2 linked regions of the Daphnia pulex genome follow. The protein of the gene in region 1 binds, or shares a complex with, the protein of each later gene. Links are inferred from orthologs where the notes say so. Each region holds a gene or a part of one and is shown on either strand. Other genes may lie near its edges.

Region 1 (8,013 bases):
CAGGTGCTGTGCTGGCCAAAGTCGATGGTTGTCTTTCGACGGGTCTTTCGACGCCCAGAAGATTCTTCCGAGTTCTATTGACGAGAAGAGAGAAAAGAGATTGGGACCTGTACCGCACCTCGAAAGCGATAAGCTATCACGTTATTCTTCTTCTTCTCTCCTTTCTGTTGTTGTTTGTGTGCTTCACCATCTTGTGGGAGTGTTTCCATCTCTCCTATCAGCATTTATTTATATTTCTTCTTCTTCTTCTTCTTCTTGTCTGTGAGATATGCTATACCTTCCGCGCTTTCTTGTGCTGGTGCCGGGCCGATTCCTCAGCTTATTCTTTTTGGAATTGAGCCCACGATGCTGAGACTGCTGCTGGGCCTCGCCCGGCTCTTTCTCAATGGAGGTTGGAAAAACGAGCGCGCGCAAAAATAAGAGGCTCCTCTCTATAGCTAGCTGCCAAGAATCATTTTCACGATCGAACATCAGCAGTGAGCGGCGGACTCTGCCCCCCTCGCGGCTCTTTTGGCCGCATCGCCAATGAGGTGTTTGAGCTCGCACGTGCATACACACGGCCGGAGTCTGTCATCCATCGCCCGCCACAGACCCGAGCGCAAGTTGTGCAATATACCATCTCTTTCTCTCTCTTTTTTGATCGGCCCGAGAGAGTCTCCTATTTTATTTTCATGAATGAACATTTCCAAATAGCCTTGAGCACAATTGTGGGTGATCTCTCTCTCTCTCTCTCGTTCTCCTGTATATACGAGCGCGCCCCATTCACTTGCCGTAAATTCAATCACGTCGTTTTTTTCCTTCTTCTTCATTTTATTCAAGGATGGTCTTCCTGCAGTCTCCATTTTTGATAATATCTATAGTACCTGTTTGGATCTTTCTGCGTGCGCGCGTCCGGTTTTTGTTTTTTTCAATTATTATTATGCTGCTGGGCGAGTGCGATTCAAAAGATCAGATATATTTCACGAGATCAAACGGTAATGGGAAATGTCAAGCAATAGAAATGGCACTGACGATAATAGATCGAAAGATAGACCAAAGTAAAATAAAACAGGATTTGCTATTTGGGAGGAGTGAAAACGGAGGTGGTTCATTGTTTAGTCAACCGAAAAATCCGGCGTTGTCATGTAATGAGCCTTTTACGATTGTTGTGTTGTCGCCCCTCTTCCGATTGGAGGCAGAATGGAAAAAGCTTAGCAAAATGTGGCCATCCGTCATGGAGTTGGGACGGTGAAAATAAGTTGGTTTTGGCTATTTTTCTTTATAAGATTCTTTTTCGCGAGTTTTTCTATCGGCGGTTGGCCCACTTTGCATAGTGCTCGTCCATTCAGTTTCCGGCCCGGGTTTTATGGCCGCTCAGCAAACGATAGGCGAATGTGGCACTCTGTCGGGGAGAGAGAGAGAGAAAAAAGAGAAGGGGTTAAATCAGAGAAAAAGATAAGCGAAAAAGAATCGGCTATAGGCTAGGCCTTCGAAAGAAAAGATGTTGGATATCCCAAACTTGGGGGTACAGACCTGCCTGACCCGAGGATCGCTATCTGCTAGCAATTGCTCCACGCGCTCGACGACGACAGGCTGTCTGCTCAATTCCTTGAGCTTGTCAGTGCCCCTGGGCGAAACGAGGCGAGAAAGAAAACAAGAGAATAGGAACATCATTCACGCTGTTTGCTGCAGCTGACGTCATGGGAAAAAGCTGTTGTATTTTTATTGTATTTCTTTTTTTCTTTTTCTCTTACCTGAGAGACAGGTATCCTATGAGCGTACAACACCTGGACCTAATCATGGGGTTTCGATTCGACAACAAACGCACCAAATTTGTGTCTGTCATGTCGCACAAGGGTAGAAAGAGATGGTGAGATTAGCCGTTCATTTTCTTATTTTTCAAGGCAATTGTGTGAAATGTAATACCTCTTTGAGTGAGAATATCTTGGACGACGCTAACGTTCTCGGCTCGAGTGCGCAGGACGTGCGACAGGATGGCCAGAACGTGGCCGACTGCATGGGCTTTGCGACGATCGACAGACAACAGGTGATGAATGGCGGCCGCGCAATCCAGCACGCAAACAGCATCGCAGAATTGATTGATGAATTCTGTTGTGAATTCAATCGGGGGGAAAAAAAGGGAAGGAATAGAAAATTAAAATAATGATTAGCCACCCCCACTTTCGTTTCCAGTTACACAAGAGCTCGCGATGAGTGATTACCTGCGGTCGTACTCAGGTGCACCAGACGGGCCATCAAACCCAGCAGCATTTCTAAGGACTGCAGATCGTCGGCCGTCAATTCGGCGTCCGTCTTTTTACTGTCGATGCTCCTGTTTTTGGGCACAACCCAAAAAAAAAAGAAAAATAGAAAACGAAATGAAATCACATGGGAGAATGAGAAATGGAATTTAGACTGTGACAAATAAACAAAAAGAGGAGTTACCCGGTGCTACGGTTATCGCCAGATCTTCTCTGAACCATTACTTTGCAAGCGTACAAGAGATTGGGCACGACGCGGGTGTCTGCGTAGGCGCGGACGATTAATTCTTCGTCGACTGATTCCTCGCGGTCGATTCCAGCCCAAGGCAGGGCCAGCAGAGTCGCTATACGTTCGACTAGGCTCGGGCTGGCGTTGACGTTGCGTAACGGAGCCACCACAACGGCGACGAGATCCCTCTGCTCCAGCGTCTGCGGATTCTCTATGGCGTCGGCCAGCGTTCCGTCAAGAAACTCTTCCCATTCGTCGTTTTCCAGAGATTTCGACAGCAACGAACCGGCGGCGGCGGTTGCGGCGGCCGCAACTTCGCCAGTTGTCGTTTCCTTGGCCTAGAATGAATCAATCATCATTTGGTCAATCCTTTCTTCTATGATAGGACTGCACATCGATTTTTACCTCCGTTTTGGGCTCGATGGAAGGTGAAACAGTTTCTTCGACAGTCGGCTGGTTGTTTGGCGGGTTGGGCACGGCTGGCTGAATGAGGGAGAAATGATGAGCGTTGGTGCCAGGATCGAGGGGATCGAAATCGGCCACATTTTGTTTGGTCGGCCATCTGGTCGTTTCTAAAATTCTTTCCAGCAATTGCTGCCTCTCACTGATCCGTGGATCGATGGCAGGCGGTAAACGGTGGGTGTCGACGGCTGCACTTTGGCGACGCGTCCAGTCTCCAAATGCACTATTCGACCAAAATGATAAAGTTTTAAATTTAAAAAAAAACGCGACTTTTAGAAATTCTGTTTAAAGTGACGTACGGATTGTATTGGGTGCTGTGGAAGGCGGCGGCGGGATGGGCCAGCAATTGTTTGGGCTGAGAAACTGGAGCGCTATTTCGGCGTCGTTCGTACTCTTCTAATCTCTGAAGGGCTCGCGTGAAAACCCTTGTAAAAGAACAACCAATAAATTTCAGTTAAAGGATTGGATAAAATAATCAGCACGACAATGTTCACTTGTTTTTGAACGGCATCTTTTGGGAGAGATCTTGTCTTTGAATCTCTTTGGCCAGTTCCTGCGAAGCCGTCAAGGCAGTCGTTAAGGGAAGCTGAGGTCTCACTAGAGAGAAGGTAAAGAGGGAATCAGTGAAATTTGTTACCTTTACCAGAAAAGGAACATTGTATTGAACATACGTCTTTCAGGTGGGAGCAGAACTTTGTTCTCCAGGAAAGGATGCTCGAGCAAGTGAGGCCAAGTTAGCCTGCGGCGAGGATCTTTCTCCAAGAGACCTTGAAGGAGGTTGAAACAATCTGGGCTCAGATTTGTGGGCCAAGGCACGGTTTCGTAACGAATTTTTCGTATTAGTTGCAATAAAGATGTGGTGCAAAAGGGTGGCGATCCAAAAAGGAGCTCATACAAAATGCAACCTAAGGACCTGTTGTAAAAATGAAGGGTAAATCAACAAATCTTTGAAGAGACAATATCTGCAATAAAAAATGTACCATAAATCTGCATTATGATCGTATGGCTTTTCCTCTATGATTTCTGGGGCCATGTACAATGGAGTTCCTTTGACAGATGTTAGCACATAAGTGTTGAGGTCCATGGATCTTGCAAATCCAAAATCGCAAAGTTTAATGATGCCATCACTTGTCAGCAGTATATTCTGAGGTTTGATGTCACGGTGTAATATCCTGTCTGAATGAAGGTAGTAGAGAGCAGATAGCAACTGGCAAGCAACCATTCGCATTTTGTCTTCACAGAGTGTCCCATCTTCCAGTAGTTTGTACAAGTCACTTTCAACATACTCAGTGACAACAACTAGCTGGATGGAGAAATAAATCGTTAATAATCAACACACAAAACTACAACAAATAAATTGTGAAATTTCTTGATTACCTCTTTAAATGTCTCAAAGGCACCAAGCATGTGAACAATGTTTGGGTGACGCAAGCCTTTCTGGATTTCAAACTCGTGTCTCAAGCTTTGCAGCTCACATTCTGTCCTACCAATCTACAAACGCAAAGTATAGAATTTGTTACAATGAAATGGAAAGGAATTTATTTATAACACTTACTTTTGGAATAAACTTGAGAGCAACCAAACCTCTCAAGTGTCTATGTCTTGCTTTGTAAACTCTTCCAAAAGATCCTTCTCCAATTTTTTCTAATACCTCATAGTCTTCCATTTCAACGCACTTTCAACTCGGATTTATTAGATAATTTGAATGTTAAGAAACCACAATAAAGCAGTGTCACTTCTTTTACCGCTGTTAAGAAATGGATATAATTGTAGTGATCATTACGATTCTTGGATTTTAATCAGAAATGAATTGTCTATAAACAAAAGAAGCCATCTAGCGAAGCTTAGACTAACAATATTCCCATGTAAATATCTGGATCAGAGATGGCGCTGTATTTTCGAATAAGGCCAACTGGCAAGGTGATGAAAATGATTCCCGAGCCAGATAGACATGATTAAATCTGACGAAGTGGTGAACATATAACACAGGGATAACAATGATATATTTATAAGAAAATTCCATAAGAGTATAAATAACTAAACAAGCCAGTGCGCTGTGCACTGGACCAAAAAGTGCAAAAGCCGCGAAAAGCAGTAAAAGAGACAGTACGCACGCGGTATGCTACACGCCCTACGAAGGTGGAAGATATATGGGCGTGAAGAGAATTTAAAAAAAAAAAAAAAAAAAAAACACACAACAAAGACCGGTAAAACAACCGGAAATGAATGTGTTGAAAATTTACGTTATTCCCATCACCGAGATGGTACAAATCTATCGATTCCCTATTTTTTTAAAAAACATATTTTATTTAGCTACAAGAGTGTAAAGATAAGAGTAAACAAAGAATTAAATATAGAAGATGAATAATTCCGGTAGGTATTTAATCAAGATTAAACTTTTGAAATGCTTTGCATGGACAAATGAGGTGTAGCTAATGATTTGGATATCGTTGTTGATAAATATTTGGTAGCAGAATAGTCTCTGACGACGGAGGTGGCTTCCTATAACCGTGGCAATGACGCGCCGGCAGTCAGAGTTGGAAACCTTGAATGCCAAGCTATTTTTGACTTTCTTCCAGAGGAATATATAAAGTTTAAATCCGTGACGTCTGAGAGAAAGGCCAGCTGCATTCAAACACGGCACACACAATAAGCGCGAGTGTTGATTTTGTTCCTGCGAAACTACATCTCGAGAACTCGGATGGGTTTTTGATTCGGTAAATTGACAAGGAAGTATTCAGTTCATTCAACTCTAGGCAATTGAAATAGTTGCATGCTCAGGCAAAAAAACAAACTTGTTATTATTTACGATACGTTAATCTAGTAAAAACTTTATTTATTTTGTTTCATATTTTCTGATAGTTTACTGTAATCTACTGAACGATTACTAGCTATTATAGTACACCTCAGTTGATAAAACTTTTTTTTTTTTGTTTGCACGGGTGTTTACATGATGTTATTTACCATTAAAATCCCGTTGGCTACACCTTCCGAATGCCTTCCAATGAAGGCCAAATCTATTCATGCATGTCTAGATTGATTCTCACTGACGCGCTGGCGGTGTCTCACGGGGGAGAACTGCCCCGGTACAGGGAAGATACGACCAGCAGGACGAGCTCGACGATATTTTTGGGATTTTGCTTTTTGTCAGGGGGTGCCGTGTGAATCGCTGGCAGATTGCCGACAATTCCAGCGGCCCATTCCTATCCTGTTTGTCGCACTGCTTTGCTCTTTGGTGTCTATTCCGGCGGGGCGAACGGACATCATCATCGCACAGTGCGGCGTGCGGTCCGCCTTTTCCATCTCTCCGGGAGTTTATATACGATTTTTCAGTCGATTTTTGAGTGTGGGGATCGTTTTATCCGTTTCCGCAATTGGCTATCTCGTGTCGAATCTATCCCATGTCTCCTGTGAGTGTCAAATGAAATGAGGGTACGTCAACGCTATTATTTACTACTTCAGACCACCAGCATCAGTTATACTTTTGATTGCGATGCGAAACAACTAAACCAATTCTTTGCAATCAATTTTGTGTCAGTTTTTATGGGGGAAGTTGGTGTTGGTTAATTTTTTGAAATTAATTTTGTTTCTATGCTGTGGGAATTATTTAGCAAATTACGCCGGCTAGTTCCGAAAATAAATCTGCATCTGCTACCAACGACGCTGCATCTGCTGAACCACCTCCATTACCCACAACCCAACCACCGCCCTTGGAGGACGAATACGAAGACATAGAATACGGGACTGGGCATAAAGCTACGTTCTCAATTCGATTTGGTACAATTTATTTTTATTTTTGTATGCACAAAATGGTTAGCTCAAACGAAAAGCTATTAATCATCCACTTTGGTATTTTCCAACACGTTGTAGGTGGAAAAATGGAGCCGAGAAAAGGCGATGGACGTCACTGTGAACTTTGTGGATCCTCAAGTCCAAAAGTTCGGTGTGAGAAATGTCTCAACCAAATATTTTGCTTATCCTGCGATGACATGTATCATCGACACCCTAAAAGAATGAATCATTCTAGAAAAGTACTTCCATATTTTGAAAAATACCCTCAATGTTATAGATAACGAAAGAATTCGTCTTTTCACAGGCGCTGGATTGTATAGTCCCGACAGTTAGACCACCACTGCCACCCAAAAATGCCGATTCTTCAATTCCTCCACCACTACCCCCACCACGTAACAAAGGAAAGAAAGGCCCATTTTCTACCCCATTATTGAGCCGAAAAGATTTTTCGGTAAGTTGTTGCTTTTTACGTCAAAAACAATGTTGTTTTGCTTGACAACAATTTTGTTCCTTAGACATCGCGCTTAAATGTTTTTACGACTCCTCTGCTGGGCAGGAAAAGCGGAGGATCGAGTTCTCAAAATCAAGTATCATTTACATTTCTATATCTGTCAATAAGGTTATAATACTAATTGGGCCTTTTTACTTTTTTAAGCCGCCGCCGATGACACCCTCCACGCCTCGCAAGGAATCCTTCATGGAGAAAATGGGATCTCTCAAGCGATTCATGGGTTCTAGGCCTCTGCCCTCAGCCCCAGACAGCAAGCCACCAGGTTGTTGATTTAATTTGTCTCGATATGATGGAGAAATAATCAACATTAGATGGCCGGATTAGAGCAAACCAACGAGTACCGCAGTCAAGGCAACGTTGAATCGACCATATTTGACCAAAATTTGTTGTAATTTTTAACAAGTAAAATTTAAATTAAAAATCAAAAACATGATTTTTAGATTTTTTTGAAACATGTCTTTGATTTTTAATTTGAAATTTTGAAATTAAAAATAGAAAATGTTGGTTACAACTAAATGACGATGTAAACAAACTTCGGCCAAATATGGCCGATGAGACGTTGCCTTGGCTGCGGAATTTGTTGGAATGCAGCATGGTTTGCACTTTGCGGTTTGCTGATTTGCTCCAAGTTTCAATGGTTTGCTGTTTTGTTCTATAAGTCAAATTAATCGGAAAAATGTATAGACAAGGAATGTCGCTATTTTCGACCACCTCATATCTCATAATCAAGTGGGCAGTTCAAGTTCAACAGCAGTTCACGTGTTCAATCACGTAACGTG
Region 2 (7,957 bases), on another chromosome or scaffold:
GACGCCATTGACCAAGTGTTTGCTATGCACAAGAAAAGCAGTTGTGAATTAATAAGAAAAAATTGCGAAGCATTTGCGAACAGTGAAGCTCGAAAATTTCCCCGTTGCCGTAACCAGGAGTTGTAGAAATTGGATTAGTGCGCTTTAAAGGTATGAAAGGTCTTAAAAATAATCAAAACTCACGTTTCCTTTAACTAGCACACCCACAGCATAAGGAGCCATAAATCCACAGAGATTGGCCACTGCATTGGTAACACCAAACAAAGTTCCGGCGTAAGGTGGTGCAATTTCGACAAAGTTCACCTGATTTTTTCATAATGAAAGGGGTTTAATGAGTTGAATTATTTCTGAATTATTTGTTTTAGAATGTACTTGAAAAGCAGAATAAGAAGCACCACTAAGTCCCACTGCCAAAGTAAGTAAAATTACGGCAGCTACAGTATCACATCCAATAAATCCAGCACCAATTAAAGCCAACGCGGGTCCGTATTGGCCTTTTATAATTGCAAAATTTGAAATTAATCTCGCAACTAAACTTGAACATCTCGTTTTTAAAAATAGTTACCAATAGAATTAAATATCTTCCGTACAGTAATAACTCTAAATATTTGTTTGGAAATGAGAATATCTGCGACTGTGCTGCAAAGGAGCGAGAAAAGCCACATCGCCAAGTAGGGAAGAGCGGACACGAAACTATTCTGTAAAATTCATTCAAATATCAAACGGATTAAGTGACTTTTTCACTTGGCCTTGTTTCAAATTTTATTTGTACCTGTTTCATGTTAAAATGTAAAATATTATCCATGTAACTCGGTAGTTCAGTCAACAGCGTGTAAAATCCCCAGGCGTGACCAACATTGGCCGCCCCTACAGCCCAGCAGGCTTTTGATCTAAACATGCATCGCCACGGTACGGGAGCACTTTTCTATATTAAGGAACAAAAATCAACCAGTCGACTTTTGATTAAAACTAATAAAGAATTACCCTTTTAATGGAGTCTTTCAAAGAACTGCAAATGTAATCTTTCTCCTCTTTGGATATTTTGAGATGTCGAGATGGAGAATCAGCAGTGAGGGGCATCCAAACGGCGAACCAGACGATACCCAAAGTCCCGAATACGTAAAACACTGTTGGCCAGCCGCCGTCGAATCCGTGCTCGCAAAGAATTCCCGAAAGAGGCAGTGTTATTACAGTCCCAAATTGTGCGCCTAGAAATTAGAATATAAACTTTAAAGAATTTCACGATGAACATTATACAAAATCCAACGTACCTGTGAAAACGAAAGCGGCCATTTTACTTCTCTCCCACGGTGGAGCCCATTCGGCAAGCATTGCGTACATCGCCGGGAACGTCACACCCTTAATGGATGTTGAAACAGTCAATTATTCGCTAGATTTAAGGATTTATTCGGCATGCGGAGGGCACCATGTCTGTTTCCCAGTGTGGCGCACTAGCAGCGCCTTTTTATAATAATATCGTAATACCTCTCCCAATCCCATCAAGACTCGACAGAAGATCAGCAAAGTGTCGCTTGCTCGAGCGGCGAACGGCGTCAACAAAGTGAAAAGTGAAGTACTGAGGATGCCATAACCAAGTAATTTTCGGCCGCCAAAAAGCTCCGCCAACCTCCCACCAGGGATCTGCGTTAAAACGTAGCCCCAGAAGAAGGAACCCAGGATGATTCCTTGTTTATATTCATCCCAGGCAAACTCTCCGTCCTTTTTAAAAAGAAAAGAAAAAATGTTGAAGATCATTAGTTTCGCATGGGATTATGTTTGACGGGGAATGACAAATAGACGGGCTTAAGCTGTGCACCAGACTGCAGACACGCGGCCATTTGCTCCAGACCATTTTCGTGCCTATATACAAAAAGCCAAGACTCGTGACAGGATTAACTCTCAGAGAGAACGAGGGAGATAGAATACGAGAGACAGGAAAAGGATGAACAAAGTCTAGCGAAAGCTTCCAATCCATCATCTCAGAAGAAAAGACCCAGGGGCATCGCGTACAAGGGGCCGAGTAGGGTGACTAGTCTTAGATCCCCTAGTGACTTTGCAATTATGTTTGACATTTTTTTTAGAGTCATTTACCTTTACTATTCCGGATTGGCTCTCTCCTGGAGTCTCTGGGCAGATATCCACCGCGGTTTGATTGATGTGTGGGATAGCGCTCTGATTGACCATCGCTACGATCGTCACGGACAAATTCACTCTCATGGCATAGACATTGGCAAATCCCAAGAATCCTAGCAAGACTAGGGTATGTCTAGTCCCCCAGCATCCTGTTAGTAATAGAAAAATGTATTTCTTTTGTAATATTTTCTATCTAGGAATGCAAGAAGTTTGAAAAGTATTAAAACACTCGTAAAACAACTCCTAGAAACATTGTCTGTGGTTAACAAAGCAGTCACTTGAAGTTTCCTTTGTAGATAAGGAAACCAACATGCAGGACAACATAACCCTGCACATGCGGGTAAAGGATGCTCCTATATCGACAGTTTTATACCTTGGTCTTCGTCATCGTGGGGAACGAGTCGCAACTTTTCATTTACTGTTTCATTTTCGTCTACTTCGTGTTGTTCTGTTACTGGGATACTAGTTTGCTGCACCATTATTCACAAATTGCACTAATAAAGGAGGGTTGGTAATGTTAAACTTTTAAAAGAAATGAGCCATTGGTGTGATTGTGCAAGGAGAGAACGGGAGTAGGTTTTGTGTGCGTGTGGGTGGTATTTTTTGTATAGTTGGAATGTAAATAAAAATATTAGCAGACCGATCGATGACACGTCGCAATAGCCTGTGGCTCTACTCCTAGATGTCTCTTATTGATTGAATGATGAAAAATAAATTTCACTTAGCTAAAAAGTCAGTATAATTTGTATAGTAAATAATACTATAGAATTTATTTATCCCTAAAAATGAAAATAAGGCTGCCCTGATAGTCTTCTTTATTTCAATTTTAATTTCACTAAAAAGATAAAAATCAACGATGACATTAGTAACTAGTGCTGCCAAATCAACTGGTGGCGAAGCATTGTTACAAAAATTCCTCTGCTATACACAATTGTTTGGAAATGGAGTGAAGTTTTGGTTTAGTTGATTGACATTTATTGTTATTTATTAGTAGATTGTGATAATAAAAGACACAACAATGCAGAAAGCACAAATGCATGTCGTCGCAAACACGTGTGCAACGGGAAATGTGGCGAGTGTTGCCAGCAACTTTGGTCCCGAATCTGGTCCCAATGACGGTCAACAATTGATGCTTTCTTCTTCAGCATTGGGATTGGAAATATTGTATGAATCATGTAAACAAGTGTACCCTCTTCAACCAAATCCATTGCAAGTGACAGCGTTCATCAAATATTGGTGAGTACTCGATACCTTGCTGATGTCCGATCAACACTTGGGAGTGTGCCCAATTGCTGCGAATACTTACCCTGATTATGAATTACAGGCTTGGTGGTCCAGATCCTCTAGACTATATAAGCATGTATGATCATCCTGGAATCCCAGAACTTCACATCCCTCCACATTGGCATTATATCAGGTATACATTGACACTTAAATTGTTACCAAGCACGACTTGATTATTTCGTTTCACATCAGTTTTGGCCTGACAGACTTGCACGGTGATGGCAGAGTTCACGAGCCTTCAGGACCAGAGTTTCCCAGTGGTTTTGGTTTTGAGCTGACTTTCCGCCTAGCCAAAAAGTCTGGTGAAGCCACACCACCCACATGGCCAGCAGCTCTGTTACAGGCCCTTGCCAAGTATGTTTTCCACACTGGTAACTCTTTCTTCGCTGGTGACCACGTCTCCTGGCATTGTCCTCTGGACGGATCGGATTTTGAATGTCGCTTGCAACACATGCTCCTGGCGGAGGATCTTTTGTTACCGCCAGTCCAAGGGCCATTAGGTTCCGTCAAGTTTCTGCAAGTCGTCGCCGTTACGGAGGAAGAGTTGCAAGTTTCCCAGCACTGGAATGGAACTAGCGTGTTGGAACTTTTGCGACGAGTTCCCTCGTAATATCCCCCGCTTCACAATAACTCTAGAGAATAGCCAACAAAAAAAGTTGTATTGATTTGCCCATTTTTACACAGTGCCGGAGGCCCTTGGCTTGTTGCCGACATGCAGCGTCAGTTATCGCTGTTTGAATTGCAGCCCTCCTTCCGCCGCGAAGTCGAACATGGTAAGGAGAAAAAGTTGCGCCGCTCCTCACAGGAGCCGTTTGTAAAAGTTTATTTATAGAGAGAGAATCCGATGTATATTCTGCTTCCATGTTTTTAGGGATCGATCGTGACGGATGCTCGTTGTCGGGCGTCAGCGCTCGCTGCCACTGGGAGGAGAGAAAAGTCACTTCGAAAACTGGTTCGGCTTGGAGGAGTCCGGAAGCTGAGGACGACTCTAGTAGTCAGGATGACGAAGAAGATGAACCGGAAGCTGGAGCGACCCTCGGGCGTCATCGACCGGCCGACGGTGAACCAACCATCAACGGCGAAATCTGGCCCATTCGACGACTCTACAAGGGTGTCCATTTGACGCTCAACTTGGAAGCTGCTTCCCTCCTGCCCGTCGTTCTTCGGTAACCCTACCAGTTGATTTCCATTGTCAGTCTTTCCTTATTTTCTAAATTGTTTATTATTAGGGGACGACTTCGACACGATCGGCATTTTACCTTCAAAGCAGTGGCCGGCGAAACGGCGGTGACGCTCCTGACGGGCAGAGTGGGAGGTGCATTGGCTTCACCGTCAGCTCCTCTCGTAGCCAAAGGTCCTTGGCTTCAGATCCTCGTCGATTCCGAGTGGTTAGCCAAACTAGAATCTGATTTGGCTTGCCTCCAGCAGCCCGATGGGGTGATTATATTTCTTTTTGATGAAATTCATCTCGAATGCATTGCCAATTTTGTGTGTGTAATAATCAAAACAATTTTTTTTTACTCTCTCCCCTATTTTATAAAAAGGTGGTGGTTCCCAAAACGTTTTGCTGGTTCGACCGACAGATGGCGTTGACGGTAGTTCCCGATGAATTATGACGACTGTATAAAAAAAAAGTCTTGTCTTTCTCAACTTTTTTTTCTTCTTTTATTTTTTTTCATGTTGTTTTCCTTCTTTTTCCCACCCCTTTTCTTTATCTATTCTTTTTCTTTTTTTACAATTGTAAACTGTAACCACGTGCCTTTATTATTATTCCTCGTGCTCGCGCGTGGGATGGAACCTGACCTGCGTGAATCTCCTTTTCTCTGGAAAAAAACAAAACGAAATATCTCGGGCGGATGTTGACGGAAGCTGCGTGTTTGCTGCAATTATAATGACGTTGAAAACTTGCCAAAAATGCGTTTTTCCAATCTTGTCTATTTATAGAAAAAGGCACACACACACACGAGGTGTCGAATCTGTGTGTTCATTTCGTCTACACTCTTTTTCTATTTCTTTCTTAAAAGCCTTTGGCTGTCGTGCAAAAAAGGACTGGGCAGCAGCCGAATCCTTGAAAAAGTTCTCCTCTCCCAGCACAGCCTTTTAGTCGTTGGACGCTTTTTTTGGATACACGGCCGCTCACGCAGGGAAAAGCGACCGGAGGTGGCGGCGGCCGGGTCCTCTCAAGCGTAATTAAAAGCGCAGTGGTCATCTCTTTTTTTTTTTAATTCTTTTTTTTGACGCAGAGTATATTTTGTTAGTTTTCATCTTTTGGCCTTCGGGAGGGGAAAATGAGCAGCGTGATGCAACAACAATTTCTTTTCAAAACTCATTGTTGTTTGCATTTAGCAGCTGAGCTAAAAGGGAATTTTGTGTTTTTTTTTCACGAAGGCCAAAAAGTCGGATGAGGGTAGAAAGAAGAAGAAGAGAAAAAAGGTTCACGGCATCGATCGGACTGGCGGGCCAGTCTCCCTGGACCCTGCGCCGATGATGAAGGAAGAGAAAAAAAAGAAGAGGAGGGGGAGTTGATTCTCACACACGTACAGACGAACGAACCCTGGTGCTCTTAACGCAGACGGGGAGGGGGAGAGCCTATCAAGAACGAAAAGAAGGAAGAAGAAGAAGAAGAAGGAAAAGAAGAAGAAGAAGAAGAAGAAAAAAGAGCGGATGCTGAGAGAAAAAGAAAGAAGGGAGGGGGGAGAGAACATGGCCGACTCCCGGCAGGAGGGCGGCCACCTCCTCCCGTTGGGGTGGAAAGAAAGTGGGAGGTTGGGGCGGGCGGCACGCGGGGGCCCCTCCGACCTTTTTTTTCTTCTTCTACGCGTTCAGACTTTAAGAGTCAACAATGAACTTGATTCTCACCCAATCATCTCGTAAGAAAAGAAGAATTTCCTTATTTAAAATAAAAGAAAAAAGTTGTTTTATGTTTTTCGCATTTTTTAATCCCGCGGGAAAATGTTGGACATACCATCAAAAAAGGGAAAATTGGGTTGTGTGTCGTGAGAGAAAAAAACATGTCGCTCATCTCTTATAAAGACGCACATATACACGCACTTGACGGGTGGAAAAAAAGAAAAACAAGACGACGCCATTTCGTTTTTTTTGAAAATAGATGCGTGTAGAGTCGGTCGGTCCTCCTCCTCCCTTTTGGCCAGCAGCAGCAGGACATCCTTATTTTCATCTGGTCGTTCCTCCATCCACTTGTTTTTACCGTCGATTCTCTCATTCTCGCCGTTTTCCGACGTAGTACACGTCTCTCCGGGTCGGCCAGACTTAACCTTGGGAGAACACACAACCGCGTTATAGACGAAACGCAAGACTTTTAAGAAGAAGAAGAAGGTGTCTTGTTGCCATTGTAAATTTAGACGACCAACTGGTGAGCAACTTTTTCGTTGGCTGACTTTAAGATTAATTTAGCGACAACTGGAAATGTACTCGGCAGGTGTCCACCACATTTCTTAGGTCATCTTTTATTGAAAATGATAACCCAAAAACAGATCTGACATGATAAAAAAAAATTAAAAACAAAAACAAAACTAAACATGTGTGTGTTAATCGTGTTTTGGCTTCCCCATTCTGGAATTTTTTTGTTTCATTTATTTTTCAATTCTTTTTTATTCCAAAACATTTTTTTATTTCATTTCTTTTTGTGAGCGATATCTATCGATAGTTAACAGACGACGATTTTTTTTTCAGCCCCTCCTCCCCCCCCCCCTAAAGAAGGAGGTTCTTTTTTCACACACTAGACTTTTGCTGAGTAGTGCCGCTAGAGGAGCTTCAGTCTAGTTGAAGCTTTCCGTGCGGTGAGGTCGCGGCCGTCGCCTACTCCCAAACTATTTTTACGATTGGCGCCAAACGTTATTTTTATTTTTCCACACACACACAACAACAACCAGCGCAGTGAGAGCGTGTGTGCCAGTGAAACCCTTGAAAAATTATTTTTTATTTTTCAAATTCTTCTGGTTACAAGAAACGTGTTTTTGTGTGTGGATGCAGGTGCACCCGACATGCTGGTGTGTGTACCATGTGCGTGAGTGTCAAGTGAAATCGGGCACGTGCTTACCTCTCTCGGATTTTGAGATTTCTGCGGACTAATTATTAGCCAAAATCAATCGACGATTTGGTTCTGGTCCGAGTGAATAAAATGCCAGCAGCGGCAGCGATCGGTCCCGATGGGCAGATTATGCGCCCGAGAAAGGGTCGACCGCCCAAAGGTGGTTACCCGTATCCGTATCCGGCCTCGACCGATCCCGCCCGCACCATCTACATCGGCAAGAACAACGCCCGCCACTGGGCCGATCTCAAAACTCGGCTCGGATACAATGGCGACGTCGATTTCGTCTCTTTTCTACTCCGACTGGCAGAGGAACGTCTCAGGTATGTTATCCTCGTGTGTACTCCATTTTCTTTGGTTGGTTGGGGGGGAAAAGAAAAAAGATTATTCATCATGTCAAGTCAGGAGAAAGAAGTAGAAAGTTTGTTTTGGTTATAAAAATGTCGTTTCATCGTTGTTGGGTCGTCGTATTCTCCCCCGAAAAATAAA

The links. Proteins that work in one complex are often made in the same cells at the same time.
Region 2: the proteins of serine/threonine-protein kinase fused-like (region 1) and suppressor of fused homolog are in contact, whole or in part, in a crystal structure (PDB 6LPH), measured with the Drosophila melanogaster proteins. The link is inferred for Daphnia pulex from reciprocal best matches to the Drosophila melanogaster genes fu and Su(fu). Residues at the interface, in NP_477499.1 of Drosophila melanogaster: Phe371, Val372, Ser373, Asn375, Ser376, Asn377, Met378, Ile379, Leu380, Asn381, His382, Met383, Asn384, Asn386, Phe387; in NP_536750.2 of Drosophila melanogaster: Leu18, Ile22, Pro33, Asn34, Pro35, Leu36, Gln37, Val38, Thr39, Thr40, Leu41, Leu42, Asp50, Tyr54, Met57, Arg127, Thr130, Trp131, Ala133, Asn134, Gln137.

The regions. Positions count from the first base shown.
Region 1 is NC_060025.1:6,990,122-6,998,134, forward strand, and holds serine/threonine-protein kinase fused-like, read right to left. Parts: upstream 5,118-8,013; 5' UTR 4,598-5,117; coding exon 4,487-4,597; intron 4,423-4,486; coding exon 4,309-4,422; intron 4,235-4,308; coding exon 3,912-4,234; intron 3,845-3,911; coding exon 3,603-3,844; intron 3,529-3,602; coding exon 3,426-3,528; intron 3,357-3,425; coding exon 3,231-3,356; intron 3,155-3,230; coding exon 2,875-3,154; intron 2,808-2,874; coding exon 2,425-2,807; intron 2,312-2,424; coding exon 2,202-2,311; intron 2,089-2,201; coding exon 1,906-2,088; intron 1,819-1,905; coding exon 1,734-1,818; intron 1,607-1,733; coding exon 1,513-1,606; intron 1,382-1,512; coding exon 1,325-1,381; 3' UTR 935-1,324; downstream 1-934. Other genes in the region: E3 ubiquitin-protein ligase lubel-like, read left to right, coding at 6,358-6,363, 6,543-6,708, 6,802-6,962, 7,028-7,174, 7,239-7,310, 7,379-7,496. UniProt on the Drosophila melanogaster protein: Probable serine/threonine-protein kinase; maternally required for correct patterning in the posterior part of each embryonic metamere. May be involved in control of cell division during metamorphosis and ovarian development. May interact with costal-2.
Region 2 is NC_060019.1:8,215,756-8,223,712, forward strand, and holds suppressor of fused homolog, read left to right. Parts: upstream 1-3,003; 5' UTR 3,004-3,151; coding exon 3,152-3,369; intron 3,370-3,457; coding exon 3,458-3,550; intron 3,551-3,609; coding exon 3,610-4,023; intron 4,024-4,101; coding exon 4,102-4,190; intron 4,191-4,288; coding exon 4,289-4,583; intron 4,584-4,646; coding exon 4,647-4,854; intron 4,855-4,961; coding exon 4,962-5,033; 3' UTR 5,034-5,324; downstream 5,325-7,957. Other genes in the region: putative inorganic phosphate cotransporter, read right to left, coding at 180-303, 373-494, 566-698, 773-925, 985-1,208, 1,272-1,359, 1,486-1,719, 2,092-2,282 and 1 more; zinc finger and BTB domain-containing protein 4-like, read left to right, coding at 7,559-7,791.